Linked DNA regions of Elephas maximus indicus. Each later gene encodes a partner of the first gene's protein in a complex. Links are inferred from orthologs where the notes say so. Each region holds a gene or a part of one and is shown in the gene's direction. Other genes may lie near its edges.

Evidence for each region. Proteins that work in one complex are often made in the same cells at the same time.
Region 2: the proteins of GNAI1 (region 1) and SMO are in contact, whole or in part, in a cryo-EM structure (PDB 6XBM), measured with the Homo sapiens proteins. The link is inferred for Elephas maximus indicus from reciprocal best matches to the Homo sapiens genes GNAI1 and SMO. Residues at the interface, in NP_002060.4 of Homo sapiens: Glu28, Arg32, Glu33, Lys192, Leu194, Gln333, Phe336, Asp337, Thr340, Asp341, Ile343, Ile344, Asn347, Leu348, Lys349, Asp350, Cys351, Gly352, Leu353, Phe354; in NP_005622.1 of Homo sapiens: Arg261, Pro263, Ala264, Trp339, Ser342, Phe343, Ala345, Leu346, Gly347, Thr348, Thr349, Tyr350, Ser354, His433, Pro434, Gly435, Ser438, Lys440, Ala441, Lys444, Ile445, Glu447, Thr448, Arg451, Trp535.

What each region holds. Positions count from the first base shown.
Region 1 is NC_064826.1:49,915,569-49,923,350, forward strand, and holds the start of GNAI1 (guanine nucleotide-binding protein G(i) subunit alpha-1), read left to right. Parts: upstream 1-4,772; 5' UTR 4,773-4,864; intron 4,865-5,024; exon of another isoform or gene 5,025-5,090; intron 5,091-5,181; exon of another isoform or gene 5,182-5,451; 5' UTR 5,452-5,498; coding exon 5,499-5,616; intron 5,617-7,782. UniProt on the Homo sapiens protein: Guanine nucleotide-binding proteins (G proteins) function as transducers downstream of G protein-coupled receptors (GPCRs) in numerous signaling cascades.
Region 2 is NC_064826.1:20,915,299-20,922,946, reverse strand, and holds the start of SMO (smoothened homolog), read left to right. Parts: upstream 1-4,647; 5' UTR 4,648-5,323; coding exon 5,324-5,651; intron 5,652-7,648. UniProt on the Homo sapiens protein: G protein-coupled receptor which associates with the patched protein (PTCH) to transduce hedgehog protein signaling. Binding of sonic hedgehog (SHH) to its receptor patched prevents inhibition of smoothened (SMO) by patched.

The sequences.
Region 1 (7,782 bases):
TGAAAAATAGACAGTATAGAACATGAGTGGAAGCAGAGGGACCAGATAGCAGGCTATTATAATATTCCATAGATACCACAAATGAGAGTATATCAGTGGAGATGGTGATATTTGGCCAAATGCTAGATATAACTGAAGGCAGAGTTAACAGGATTTCCTGTGGGATTAGATACATAAGGCCTGAGGGAAAGAAAGGAATTAAGGATGACTCTAAGATTTTGGTCTGAACAAATGGAAGGAAGAAGTTGCCAATTACTGTATTTTTCTTCCAATGGTACAGGTGCAAGCACAGATAGGCAAAGAGCTAGATTTAATGAGATTTGAAGTTTTTCCTGGTGAATACAATGGTGGGGGTGTTTTGAAGAGAAGATTATCTTGATTGAAGGTGGTAACTAAGTTGGGATAGGAGAGAAATTAGCACATGACATCTGTTGAGGGACAGAGAAAAATGTACAGTTTGTGGATGGAAGGTCTCTGCAGTCTTGAAGAATTGATGGTGATAAGAGAGGGGGCTGGAAAGATTAGAATGGAGGTCAGAGTACGGGGTAGTCATGTTCTTTCCATTGTTCCATAACAATCTCCTTTTCTCCACCTGCATAATACTTGAGAAGAGTCATGGCTAAAATGCAACTATGGCAAATTCCCCCCAAAAATCCTGCTCTCCGTCTACTATCCCGTGTATCTCTCACTCTCCGCAATTAAAACTACTGAGTCTCTTCATTCAGCTTCTGCATTCTCAGTGTTTACACACTCCTTCATTCTACATGGTAAAGCTTCTGTTCACAACAATAGATCAAAGTGCTTTGGTGCATTTGCCAACAATCTCTTCCTGTTGAAATTAAAGACTCACAGGAACTTAGAATTGTTGGGATCGTGCAGATGATCTAATTCAATGCCTACATTTTTCTAGATAGGGATAGTGTAATTAAGGGACATTTAAAGACATGTAATAGACACAGTTTAGAATTGCTCTAAATTCTCCAGTTTACCTACTTACAGCTTCTTTCACCATACCACTATTGCCAATGTTCTTTTTCTTCATACTTGTCCCTGTTGATCTTTTTCTAATGCATTTGAAATCATAAATAGCCATTTTTTTCTTAAACTTCTCCCTCCTTCACTTACGTGCTTATAATTCTTAGTGTCTCCTAGCTTCATCGACATATAAATTAGGCTCACATTTCTATTCATCTCCGATGATTTTAAGATGTATCTGCTTCAGTAGGAAATTAAGCCTTCTAGAAGTATTTTCCAGGTATTTCTACTAGTCCACCAAGGTGGCTTCATATTCACACGAGCACAAACAAGTCTGTTGTCTAAAGTCACTGCCTAATGTCCTTCTGTTTTCCTCTTTTCCAGTGTTCCCTTTTGTCATTGCCACTGGCAATGAAGTTACTTGAGGGAGACTGAGCACTGCCCATAGTGCAGTGCCCATCAGGAGGATGTGACTATCCATGCCCAAAGTACTGTCTTTAGATGGCTTTTAGTGCCTCGGTGCTCAGGTGCCTGAGTCGTGGTACGCTCCACGTAGAGACGATGACCTCCATATCATCTCTGAGCCAGATGTTGCACCCTGTGTATCTGAAGAGCCCTTCTTGTCTCACGAAGTATCTTAGTAGTAATTCTATGAGCTTTTGTTTTTTGACCTTTGCCCAGAATCTCACAGCATGGCTAATGCAAATAGTTTGGGTTTGGTATCTTTATATCTCTAACAGTGTAACAGCACAGATGCCCCTCTATCCTTCCAATTATCCCTAATCTTTCCCCAATCCAAACTCTTCCCTTCTCATTTAGAAAGCAAAAAACTCAAAGCAAACAATAGAGAAGTGTACACATAGCACAACTGCTCCTAATTTAACCAGCCAAAGATGTACTATACACTGCTCTTTTGATCGATGTATGTTTATAGGTCCAGATATAGATATCTATGTCAAAGTCCTAACTCTCTTATATGGTTCCAGTTTATCCCCACACTAATCCACTGACACACCAAGTCAGCATATCTCAAATCCACTCTTCTTACGTTCTTTGGCTTCATTTTGTCAGATGCTAGGACATGCAAGGAAAAGGTTGGAGGCTAGAAGGAGTTTCTGAGTTCTAATCTCAGTTGACACTAATCCCATTTGTCTTCTGAATAACATAGAATCTCAAGGTTGGAAGGGATCTTAAAAGTTATCTCATCTAGCTTTAGACTGTGCCCGGTAAGATATCATACAACCTAAATTTGTACATACTAGTCAAGGATGTTACAAATGTCTCCTTTCAGATGAATTGTACACTGTTCTTCCTTACATCAAGGTAAAATTTGTTTGCTGTAGCTTCTTTCTACTACTTCTAAATCTACCACTTTGGAGACAGAAAGAAAATGTTTATTCCCTCTGATTCATGACATCCCATCAGTTACTTGAAAACAGCTATCATGTCACTTTGTAGCTTCTCTTTCCTACATTACATATTTTCAACTTCTTCAATTATTCCTTATGACAGAGTTCAGAGTTACTTTAAAACCTAGATGTTCTCTGCTGAATGTGTTCCAGTTAGTCTCTTGGCATATGTCTCTGACTCTCTTAATATATGATGCTCAGTATTATTCAGTAATGAAAAGAAATATTGATATATGCTACAACATAGATAAATCCTGAAAACATCATAAGTAAAAGAAGCCAGTCACAAGTGATTACATATTGCATTATTCCATTTCTATGAAATTCCAGAATAGGCAAATCTAGAGACAGAAAGCATAATGGTGTTTGCCTAGGACTGGGGGAGAGGGGTGTAAAATGGGGGCCTGGGGAGTGACAACTAAGGAATGCAGCATTTCTTTTTGGGGTGACAAAGATGTTCTGACATTGATTGTGGCGATGCTTCAACAATTCTGTGAATATACTAAAAGTCACTGAATTGCGTACTTTAAGAGTAAATTATATGGTATGTGAATTATATCTCAATAAAGCTATTTAAAAAAGAAACGTGATGCTTAGAAAGGAAATCAGTACTCTGAAACAAAGTGTTTTCACCTCTAAATCTCAGCTTCACTCTCTCTAAAATGGATGAGTTAATAAACTCTTTACCTTGTTGATAAAGTTGTTGAATCATATTTTGCTACCTCATAATTATGTAAGTTATTAATTAGTTTGAGTGACTTTCATCACCTCATATCTGGATTACTAACACAGTCCACTTGTTGGTAACCCATTTTTTTACACATAGTGGCAAGAGTTTTTTTGAAGCACCTATTCCCCAACTCACTAAGAAGAATATAAGGAACACTTAGTACCCATTGTATCAAGTCCAATTCTTCACCTTTGTATTTAAAGCTCTTTTCCAACTTTGTTCTATACTTCCTACCATTCTTCACAGCCCAGCTAAATTTTAGTTATAAAACACTTGTTCTCTCCTATAGACACTTTGCATATTAACCCTTTTAGCTGGTTATTACTCTCAAACAAAATATACCCCTTGAAACTCCCCACCAATCCCAGTCATCATATCCTTCAAAAGTTCTTTCAAAACTTTCTTCTCTTGGAATTTGCCCTCAGACTGATCACTCTATTACCTGTATCCTCTCAGAAGTTTATATACAGCTAATTTGAAGTTCTTATTCTTTCATTATTATCCTTTAACTCCTAAACTACTTGACAAGATTATCAAATGAGAGAGGTAATGTTTATGATTCTGTTATACCTTCTTTTCTCCAAAACACTTTCTGTAGTCATTTCCACCAGTACTCCGCCATGATTGCTTCATCTTTTGCTGCAACTTTTTGTTAGTCATATGCTCTATCTGGTCCGAAGCTTGCAGGAAAAAAGAATCACAGTAACAGATAATCCAAAATGACTAATACACAAACACTATATCGAAAGTTAACTTCCTTAAGCTTAATTTCAGAGTTACTCATGAACATCAACATTTAGAGTGCCAAGAAATACAAAAAGGTAACTCAAGGCTAATTTTTACAGATGAATTTCAGAAAATAAGACTTCCAGATAGATATCAATTTCTAAGTTTTAGTACATCAATGAAGAAATTTGACTACCAGCCCCATCTTCTAATCAGTCAGCCTTTCCTGTGGTGTGTGTAAGACAAAGATGGAGTGCAACAATGGCAGTTGGGATCACCAGCCTGACAGGGAGAGATCAGGCAGTGAACTTAAGCAATTATATTAGGCACTAGATACTGGGTGAAATGTCTGTCCAGCCCCAAGAGCTCATCTTGCCCAAACCAGTTAGAGCTGGAAGAATGGGGCCATCAAGTACATCAACCCTTCACCATTTTATGAGTGAGGAAGCTAAGGTCTGTTAACAGGAGTGCCATGCCCAATGGCACAGGAGTTATTAACAGGGTCATAAATACTGGTTCAAAATTTGACAAGGAAGTTCACAAGCTGCTCCAGAGGAGGTCTGTTACGGTGTGGAGCAGATTTGTTTGTGTGGGTGTGTTTTATTGCTCTGGTCATTTTTTATACATGCTTTGATTCTTTGTCTCTCATCTTCTCAGATTATGAGGAAATCCTTCAAAATGTTGTTTGTGAAAAAGAAAAGTGATAATGGGTGGAAGAAAAAAGGACATTACAAAGGACGGGAAACTGAAGAAAAGGAGAAAGTTACTGACCCGTTTTCTCCCCGACTTTTCCTGCTCCCCACTGTCCCCATCTCTGGTTCCACCGCGGCTCCGTTCCCTTCCCAGCTGCCTGTTTCCCACGGCCCAGAACGCCACCCGACAGGGGTTCTACATTTTGAAAACCCTTGCGTGGGTGCGGAGCTGGGCATGCTCAAAAGCTCAGGACTGGCTTTGCTCGGCTCTCAACTTTGGCAGCTCTCCCACCGCCACACCGAAAGCGGCAGGTCCGCACAGATCCCTCGGTGTGAGTAAACGGGAAGAAATTATCGCACTCCCTCGGAGGGAGGCGGGTGGCAGAACGCGAGGACCCAGCCTCACCGGGCAGTTCCGCGCTCCTGTGGGCGCTTCCAGGGCGCGGGCTCGGGGGGTGGGGGGTGCCCGGATCTCGGGGACTGCTCGGCGCCGGGGAGCGGCCGGGCACGTCGGGAACGCGGGGGCGCGCCCCTCCGAGGGAGCTCTGTCCGAGGCAGGTGCGCGGGAGCGCGCTCTGGGAGTGGTCCCAGGCTGGCGGGAGGGGCGGGCAGGGGCGGGGCCGCGGCGGCGCGCGGACGCCGAGCTCCGCGGGGCTTGGAGAGGCTGCGGCGCGGCCAGCGGCGGGAGGGTGGCAGCTGCTGCATCTGGAGGCTCCAGATCCCGGGCTTCTGGGCGCTGAGGGGCGCCAGGAGCGGAGCCTGGCCTTGAGGAAAGGCTTTGAAGAGGCCGCCTGCTTCCTTGCAGACACCTTTTTCCTAGATTCCGTTGACGAAGTGGGTGGGGGTGGTGTGGCCCACGTCGGGAGGTATTTGAACTGCCGCATCCAGAAAGAAAGAATTTCCCCGTGTTTGGAGACAGCACATCGGACGTGGAGGGAGCGGCGGTAACCTCTCGCTCTTGGCACAATGGGCTGTACGCTGAGCGCCGAGGACAAGGCGGCGGTGGAGAGGAGTAAGATGATCGACCGGAACCTCCGCGAGGATGGCGAGAAGGCGGCGCGCGAGGTCAAGCTGCTGCTGCTCGGTAAGGGCGGCCAGGCCGGACGCCGGGGTGGGGAGGACGGCCTGGGGGTCCCAGGGGCCGAGGGGGAGCAGGCCGGTGGGCTGGGCGCGGCGCGCCGGGCTGGCTGCTGCCGGGGCTCGGCGTCTTCGAACCCGAAGGGAATGTGTCGAAGCGGCCGATGGCGCGTCTTGTAGCGCCCGAGGGTGGTTTCGGAGAGGGAGGCTGTCCAGGGCGGTGCAGCGCCCAGGGGTGCCCTCCTGTCCCCCGGTCGTCTGCCTCCCATCGCCGTGGAGGGCGAGAACTCGGCCGCGGTGGGGCAGGAGCCTCACTTCATCCGAAGCTTTCGTGTGGCCCCTGCAGGTAGCCAGGGAGCGATTTTAAAGCGGCAGATGGCGCGGAAACCCTTTTCTTTGAAGTTAGCTCAGCCTTGTAAAGATGAGCATTCATGGCAAGAAAATAAGAGTCTCCCTCCCCCGGAGACCTTTCATACCCGGTGTTGTGTCGCGGTTGTGGTTTCACTAGTCCAGAGTGGCACTTTGCGTGAAATCAGTGAACCTTTTGTGGGGCCTTTGGGGTTGAAATGTGTCTTTCCTGTCAACTTCCGATGGCGATTCAGTAAGTGTTACAGGAACACTGATTGTATTTACCTTGCGGAAGGAAATAGGCTGCTCTACGTGCTTTATTTTTCCTACTCCGGGGGCATGGAAACCACCAAAGTTGGGTTACGTTCGCTCCAGTCGTGGATCAGACGGATAAATGAGTGAGGAAAACTGATGTGAAAGGTGCGAAAGGGTCACGCCGACAACAGGATTCTCTCTCCGGCCGCCACGGTTTCTGATAAATGAGGTTTGCCAGGTACAAGCCAGGATTTTGTTTAGTCTTAGTCCTCATAATGAAACGTTACGTGGAGGACTTTTTCCATTGCTAATGGGGGAGAAAATAAAAAAAGAGTAAACCAGGGTTTTGACTCAGGGATATGTTAGGAAGATATTCACAGTTTAAGATGTTTAGTTTTATGAGTTAGGGTTTTCTTTTGTTTCCTTGACTCCCTTGCCCCCACCCCCACCCCACTCTAAGTAGAGACAGGTTTCTCAGAATCTTCATTTGCACTTCCAGCGATTGCTTATATATATATAGACATACATACAGTTATAATAAAAGAGAAATATTGCAGAAACCTGTTTTCAGCAAGCGTCTGTGTCACTGGTTTAATGACTGCAGAAAAAAATGGTGGGTTTTTTTCCCCCATCACTAGCAAGCTTAGAAGCAGCGAACCTGGCATGACTAAAAGTAACTATGATCTGAGTCATTCTGAAAGTAAACTGAAATAACTTTGCATTTCAAAGACCTGAATGTCTTTACCTCCTCCCCACAACATAAACCTTCCTCAATTTATACTGTTTACCTGAGGTTTTGCATTAATACCAAAAAACCAAACCCCGTGCCGTCGAGTCGATTCTGACTCATAGCGACTCTATAGGACAGGGTGGAACTGCACCATAGTTTCCAAGCAGCATCTGGCAGATTCGAACTGCCGACCCTTTGGTTAGCAGCCGTACCACTTAACCACTACGCCACCAGGGTTTCCTTACATTGATAAGAAATACTATATTTTTGACCAGGTCAGTATATTTGCAGTGTACTGAGCACAGAAGAGACACAATTTGCTAAAGAAACACTTCGACTTTTGTGAATTGCATGAGCTTGAGAGTAAAAATAAGACAGGATTAAAAAGTTCCTTTGTTTAGTTTTTGCCCTCCTGCTCTGGTATTATTTTTGTATATTTCATCGTATCTTAGCTTGAGCCAGCCATCCACCATGTTTAAGACAATTGCAAAATGATTCCTCTGGTGGTGGTGGTTTATGCTTTAATGAGATGTCTGTTAGAAAGGGATAGAGTTTATTTTTACTTATATTCAGAATAGACTAGTGTTTCTCAACCTTAGCACTATTGATACTTTGGGCCAGATAATTCTGTGTTGTGAGGGCTCTTCTTACATCATGCAATATTTAGCAGCATCTTTGGCCTCTTATGATTTGGATGCCAGAAGTCTCCCCCTCAGGTTGTGACAACCAAAACTATATCCAGACATTGCCAAACGTTTCCTGGAGGCAAAATCAACCCTGGTTGAGAACATCTGGTCTGCATTAACAAATATAGTTGAGTGTGTGATGTAGAACCAAAAG
Region 2 (7,648 bases), about 29 Mb from region 1:
CTAACCAAAATGTCGGCAGTTCAAATCCACCATGCACTCCTTGGAAATTCTATTGGCCAGTTCTACTCTGTTCTACAGGGTCACTATGAGTTGCAATTGACTTGACAGCAAAAGGTTTAGTTTTCTTTTTTTGGTTATACTTAGGGACATAATCTCATTTAGGAATAGGGTTTTCTTTGTTATATTAATGAGGCCATGTTAGTGTAGGGTGTGTCTTAAACCTAATGACTTTTGAGGTATAAAAATAACAGATTAGGTACAGCTATGAGCAAACACAAATGGGAGAAAGACAGATACCATGTGAAGATCACCAAGGAACCAAGGAACACAGGGCTAGAGAAGCTGAAACAAGGATTTTCCCTCAGCGCTAACAGAGAGAGAGCCTTCCCCTAGAGCTGGTGCCCTGAACTCAGATGTCTAGCCTCCTAAACTGTGAGAAGTAAATTTCTGTTCATTAAGGCCACCTACTTGTGGTATTTCTGTCACAGCAGCACTAGCTAACTAAGATAAGGGATATTTGAACAGGGACCTGAATGAAGTGAGACATGAGTGTGAGCCAAAAGTCAAAAGTCCTGAGGCAGAAGCTTGCTTGGTGTATATAAGGACCAGCAAAAAGAATAGCATGTTGGAGGTCAAACAAGCTAGAAAAGGAGCTGCAGGAAATGAGACCCAGGAGGTCAGCAGGACCTTGGTGAAGCCATGGTGAGATCTTTGGACTTTATTATAAGTATAATGAGATGCCATCAGAGAGTTTTCAGCACAGAAATGATATGATTCTACTTCTATTTTAGTAGGATAGCCCTGGTGCCTGGGGAGAATAGGTTGTGGGAGGGCAAGGGAAACTGGAGTTCTGTGAGAAAGCTCTTAGAGTGACCTAGGTGAGAGACGACGGTAGTTCAGACCAGTGTGGCAGCTGAGGAGGTGATGAGGAGTAGTTGGAGCTGACAGGATTTGCTCATGGGTTGGGTGTGGGATGTTAGAGAAAGAGAACAGCTTGAGAGAACTCCAAGATTCTTGGCCTGTGCAGCTGTATAAATGGTGGTACTGTTTACCAAGAAGAGGAAAACTAATTCCATAGATTAAAAACAGAATGTCATTACCCAGAAAAGACCTAAAACCACCTGATGTTATAATGTGCAGCTCCAGACAGGAATGATGTAGGACAGCCCTTTCACAGCAGCCACACTTCTACCATATTGGCTACTGGTTGGACTTCCAGGAACCACTGAAATGGCAGCATAAGAAGGATCTTGGAGATGGAAGAAAAGGGAAGTGAAAGTGACAGTTATTAAGCACCTAAGGAATAAGCTCTTTGTCATGTTACTTCATACTAATCCTTATTAGACTCCTTATAGCTAAATAGTTATGCCTTCATTTTTATAAAGGAAGAAATTGAGGCTCAGAATAAGTTGCTCAAAGTCACTTGGCTAGAAAGGCTCAACTCAGATTTCTAACTCCAAATCTATATGCTGCCTCTCTCAGGAGGTTGCATATCTAGCTCCTTTCCCATTTTACACTTTCCCTTTGACTTGATGCTCTTAGCTGCAAAATAGAAAACACTAGAAGAAGAAAGAAAACTGGAGTGCTGCAACAATTATGCTTCAAATTCTGGCCAGTGTGACAATCTGAACCATAAGCCACTAACCAAGATCTTGAGGATACCCATGGATATCCCACAGATACTTTCATGTCCTTCCTCTTTGAGTGGAGGGCCCAGTGGCAAATGACAAAGAGTCATCATTGAGTATGCGACCTCAAAATGCCAAAACAGTTGATGAGGATGACTCAGAAATCAAGAAGCTACTTGTAGCAAGCCAGGTACTGTAATGCATTGTCAACACAGGAGAGCTTCTCATGGTCCTGACGGAAGGACTGTGTCATGACACGTAGATCGGGCTAAGACTCTTGAGAAACTGGGTGGGAGGTGCTCAGGCTCAGGAAAGGAGCACTTTCCAGCTGGCCACCAGGCTGAGGCCAAGAGCCTGTCAGGCTGCTCTGAGGAATCTCTAACAGACACTGGCAGTCTTAGTGTGCCTGCAGAAGGGGATGGTTGAGCTCTTCCAGAACCCTGAATGCCATCCAGGAAGTACCAGGAAATTCTGTCTTCCCTAGTGCCTGCTGAAGACTTCTTTCCTCTTCCAAACCTAAGGTTAGACAGGATTCCTGACTCTTTCCATTTCCTTCTGTATCTGGGGAACAGCACAGGCACTTTAGATACAGATCTATGGCTATTGTTGCAGCTACCATGGATGGGAACCTGGCCCCCTTGGCCCCATAGCCTATGACAGGACTATGAGAATTTTTCCAGTCTGTCTTCCTGCTTCCCTTTGCCTAGGCCAGCAGGATTCCCAGAAAAGGATGCTGAAGCCTGGTGTGTAGACGTACTCACACCTACCAAGTTGAAAAATAAAGATATCTCTTTCTCACCCTAAAGGGAAGAATATCCTGAAGGGAAGGCAACACTTTAGAATCTCCTCAATTCACCCTCTTCTATCTTTACTGTAAAAGGTTGTTGTTAGCTGGAGTCCGCCCCCGACTCATGGCAACCCCACGTGTTACAGAGTAGAGCTGTTCTATAGGGTTTTCTTGGCTGTAATCTTTACAGAAGCAGTTTACCAGGCCTTTCTTTCATGAAACTGCTGAGTAGGTTCAAACAGCCAACCTTTAGGTTAGCTGCGATTGCAAACTGCTTACTCTATTACAACATACCTCCCAAGAAATCTCTGCTGTGCCTGGACAAGGAATGGTAGTGTCTTCATACTGGAGGAACTACCTACTGACATTTTTAAGCAGAAAAGTAAGGGCTTGCTGGCATACATGTAGGTTTCTCCCTAATACATGGAAAACTCAGAAAATACTTCAAAGTGACCACAGTAACAACTAGACAGAAAATGAGTGGAGAAGGCTCACAAAGCAAAACCTCTGAGTGGTAGGAGACACCAAGACAACTTTCACTGTGGCTCAAACTTGGACATGTACAACATTTATATTACAGGAAAAAAAAAAAAAGAACTGAAGTTGGTCATGATGTTTTAGATTATTTTTTCCAGTGAGAATATTATGCCTGATGACATAGTCTATTCCCATTTCTTCCGTAAATCGCCATCAACTTCCCTCCAAATAGCCCCTTTCCTCCAGCCTCTTGCCCTCATACCACCTTCATGTCACCTGATTAACATCCTTAAACATAACACTTTCTTCATCAAAAATTGGCACCCTTTCCTTATTGCCAAAAGAAGTAAGCCTTAACTCCCCTGTGCATCAGTCAAGGCTTTTCACCAGTTTCCCTACTTATCTGATCTCCTGCTATGCCCTGATAGCCAGGCAAATCATGCTCTGAGCTAGATTCATGGTTCCCCCCCCATGTAATGCCCCCTCGACTCCTCTCAACTTTTCTGACTCCACCTAATCGCTCAAGACCCGTCTCCTCCGCTTCCACCAGCCACACTGATCTCTCCCTGCTATAAACTCGTGTAGCGCACTCTCTGTGCACCTCATTTTGGCAGTTTATTGAGTTCTTAATATGTATATGGTGTTGCACTAGATGCTCCGGAGAGGAAGGCCTTGCTGCTTTGCACTGTTTCCTAAGGGCAAGCCTTGTCTCCCCAGTAAAATGCAAGTTCTCAAGTTCTGCAAGAATGTCTTGCTTCTCATAGTGCTATGTTCCTGGGTGGTACAAATGGTTAACCTGTTCTGTAGCTAACCAAAAGGCTGCAGATTCAAGACCACTTCAGAAGACATGTCGGCGGCCTACTTCAGAAAAATCAGTCATCCAAAACCCTATGGAGAACAGTTTTACTCTGACACAGTGTTTTTTTTTTTGGTTTTTATGTACTAGATTTTCAGAAAGACTCGCTAAATTGAATTAAAACCTCTCTCTCTCACTCAGATTTACGTGCTAATTAAGGCTAGTAACTGAAGTGTAATAGCTAATTCGCTCTTAAAAGGTCAAACGTAACAGCTAGTCCAACTCAGCTAGGCTATGAGCTAGTCTTCCACGGTTAAGAAAGGAAAAGGCACCTTAGTGTGCTGTCTGGTCAGCAACACTGGAAAGTTGCTTAATGCAAGTCCACTTTTCTGGACTTCGTCGTGTGGTGATGGGTGTGAACTGCCTCGATGTGAAATCAAGCCCTGTGAGGGAGAGCAAGATGATCCGGGGAGGTAAGGGGAGCAGAAACTCCCCTGGCCAACAGACAGTAGCAAGGGCTATCAGAGATAGACTGGTCTACTTTGGACACAACCAAAGACACGCCAGGGCTGGTCTTTGGGAACCACGGTTCAGACTTCACACGTCTGTAGCAATAAAGACGACGTTGGGACGTTTGGTTTTCACAGCCTGCTCCCACAGGTAACAGCAGCCAGGCAGCTCCTGAGTGATCCTGAGGCCATCTCCTAGGCAAGTCACGAGAAAGGAGCAGACAATTCAAGCGGGAAGGAACCGCAGAAACGGAGACCCCAACCCTGGTACTCTTCCATGGGCCCAGAGACGAGTCCAAAGATCTAACCGAAAGCTGGGAAGACCGCCGGAGCTGGGGGGCGGGGATGTGGTAGAAGCTCCCACTGACTTCAGCACCCAGCCCCTCACGCCGCTCTCTGCAGAGGCCCAAGTCCAAAGATCCTCCGAGCAGTCAAGGTGCCCGCTGGGTCTGGTGCAGCTCTGGGCCACCATTTCCCCCCGCCTCTGGCCCCAGGGCGCGGGCGGCGGCAGGAGGGCCCTCCGAGCCCCCTAGCCCAGGCCCTCCGGGCGCCACGGCCGCCGAGCGGCGCTCCTCCTCCCGGGCCAGTCCCTCCCCCGCTGCGCGGAGGGGCCGGGCTTGGCCGTGAGGCCGGTGCATTCCAGAGCCGAGCGAGGAGAACACAAAGGAGCCGGGTGGTCGGCGGGGAGAGGGGCTGCGCGCGCTCGGCGAAGTGGCGGCCGGGCCGCGGGCGGGCGCGGAGCCCGGACGCCGCCCGCACCCCGCCCGCGCCTGGCCTCCGCCGAGGGGCCGGGAGTCGGTTTTAATGGTGGGAGGGGGGATGGTGCTGGAGGTTGAGGGTCCGGGGGGCCCCCGGGACTGAGACGACTTGGGTCGCTGGGCGAGGGTAGGGAGCTGCGCACCGCGGCCCGGCTTCCGACGCCCGCCATGGGCCGCGGGGCCCGAAGTTTGCGAAGTTGGGCGCCGAGGGGCCCGGGCGCGCGCTGCGTGCGGGGGGGCCCGGCGCCGGGCTCGCGGGGCGCCCAGGTCGCTTGAGTCGCCCCCGCGGCCCCGAGGCGTGCGTGTGTGGCCCGGGTTCCGGGAGCGGGCGGGGGCGCCGGGGCTCTGCTGAGCTGGCGGGTCTGGCTATGGCCGCTACCCGGCCCGCGCGGGGGCCAGCGCTCCCGCTCCTGGGGCTGCTGCTGCTGCTGCTGGGGGGCCGGGGCCGGGGGGCGGCCGGGAGCGGGAATGCGACCGGGTCTGGGCCGCGGGGCGCTGGCGGGAGCGCGAGGAGGAGCGCAGCCGCCACTGGCCCTCCGCGGCTGCTGAGCCACTGCGGCCGGGCGGCCCCCTGCGAGCCGCTGCGCTACAACGTGTGTCTGGGCTCGGCGCTGCCCTACGGGGCAACCTCCACGCTGCTGGCCGGGGACTCGGACTCCCAGGAGGAAGCGCACGGCAAACTCCTGCTCTGGTCGGGTAAGTGCCGGAGCGGGCCCAGGGGCTGCGGAGGTGGGGTGGAGACTGGTGCAAAGAGCAGGCTCAGGCCTGAGCTTTGGAGAGGACTCCGAGAGAGTGAGAGGGACACAGGCTAAAGCTTTGGAGCGGGTTACGTGCAGGAGGGGACCCTCGGTGATGGGGGCGGAGGAGGAGAGAGTGGAGGAGCCAGTCACAAAAGGCCTGAGCAGGGTAGGCGAGCAGAGGAAGCAGGGGAATGAGGGACCCGGAGGAGGGGCGCCAAGCTACAGGAAAGCATTTTAAAGAGAAGATGCTTCACTAAGTGCCACCTTGAGCTCGAGGGTCTCAGGGATTCAAGGAGGTGTTTAGACCCGGGGGGAGAGACAGGGAAATCGAGTTGGAGGGGCAAAAGGAAAGGATAGGGGTGGAGGAGGTTTAGGCATTTGGAGGGAGAAGAAGGTGGGGGGAAAGAATTGAGTGGAATCTGTGATGAAAATTAAAAGGTAACCAAAAAGTTGGAAAACTCTTGCCTTGGGAGACAGGAAGTCCAGATCTTGTCTTGCTTTCACACAAGATTTCAGTTTCGTCATCTGAAAAATGGGCATTCTGATCCTTGCCTGAGTTTGTGAAAGGATGAAATTATTGCACCAATTATTTTGTGTGTTCTTCGGAAGTTGGGATCCTTGGCCTGGTCAAGACTGCTGAAGGACCCTTAACTGTGGGATGCAGAGGGCCTGTGGATACTTCTAGAGCCCTCTCCTCAGGGTGGGTTTATGGCAGGGCCTGAAAAACTGCAGCCTGAACCCAAACAGGTCCTTTTTCAGCAGTATGGAATGGGTCGTCCCCACCTGCCCTCTGCTGGGCTGGGGACCTGGAGGTGTTGGGGAAGGGAAGTGGCCCTGTTGTTTCCGCTTCTGGCCAGTGTGATTCCAAAACTATCTTTGGAAAAGAAATCAAAAGCCAGGAGCAGACCTGGCAGCCTCCTTCTTTTGACGGCCCTAGGGTGCCTCATTTCGCAGCTCTGCTCCTGAGGAGGGAGGGTGTACGTAGGTGACCAGTCGTTGTTGGCATAGGCCATTAGACTTCTCAGGTCCTTTGCCGGGATGTTGAACGAGGCAGCATCGTTATCATTAGTGTGATGCCAGAGAAGGCATGTGGAGGATGGTATCCTTGTGGTGGAGCTGCAGTCTCCTATAGTCTCCAGTAGGGATCAGATTCAAAAATCAGCACATAAGGCAGAAGTCCTGTGTAATCCACAGTATCTTCAAAAATCCATGAATTACCCTAATGTATGGTATATGTGATTTTGCCTATACACTCCTTTATGATAACATGTTTGTATAAATATGTAACGTATAGTAATGCATAGAAGACAGGAGTCCCTGGGTGGTGCAAATGGTTAAGCGCTCAGCAGCTAACCAAAAGATTGGTGGTTCATATCCGCCCAGAGGCACCTGGGAAGAAAGTCCCAGTGATGTGCTTCTGAAGGACCATAGCCACTGAGAGCCTTATGGAGAGCAGCTCTACTCTGAAACGCTGGGACAGCCATGAGTTGGAATCGACTCAGTGGCAACTGGCTTGGTGTGGCTATACATACAAAATATAATTTTAGCCTTTAAAGTTACATCAGTGCAAAAGAGCGGAAGACTTAAATAGCGCAGTGGTTAAGAGCTCGGCAGTTAACCAAAAGGTTGGCAGTTTGAATCCACCAGCTGCTCCTTGGAAATCCTATGGGACAGTTCTACTCTGCCCTATAAAAGAAAAGATAAACAAGGTTCCTTTGAACACCATGTGACATAAGCCTTGAGTTCCGGAACCAGCTGTATGAAAACCCTAAATCTTTCAGCACTAGAATCTCAATGAGTTCTGAGTTGTCCACACTATGAGAGGATATCTATCAGTTTACTTATTTTTCAAGGGTCCACGGTTGAATTCTCCTAAGTGAAATGTGTATGTGATACTGCCCCTCTAGCTGCCATTACATCAGGGAGGAAGGGTATGAACCTCTTCCAGCCCAC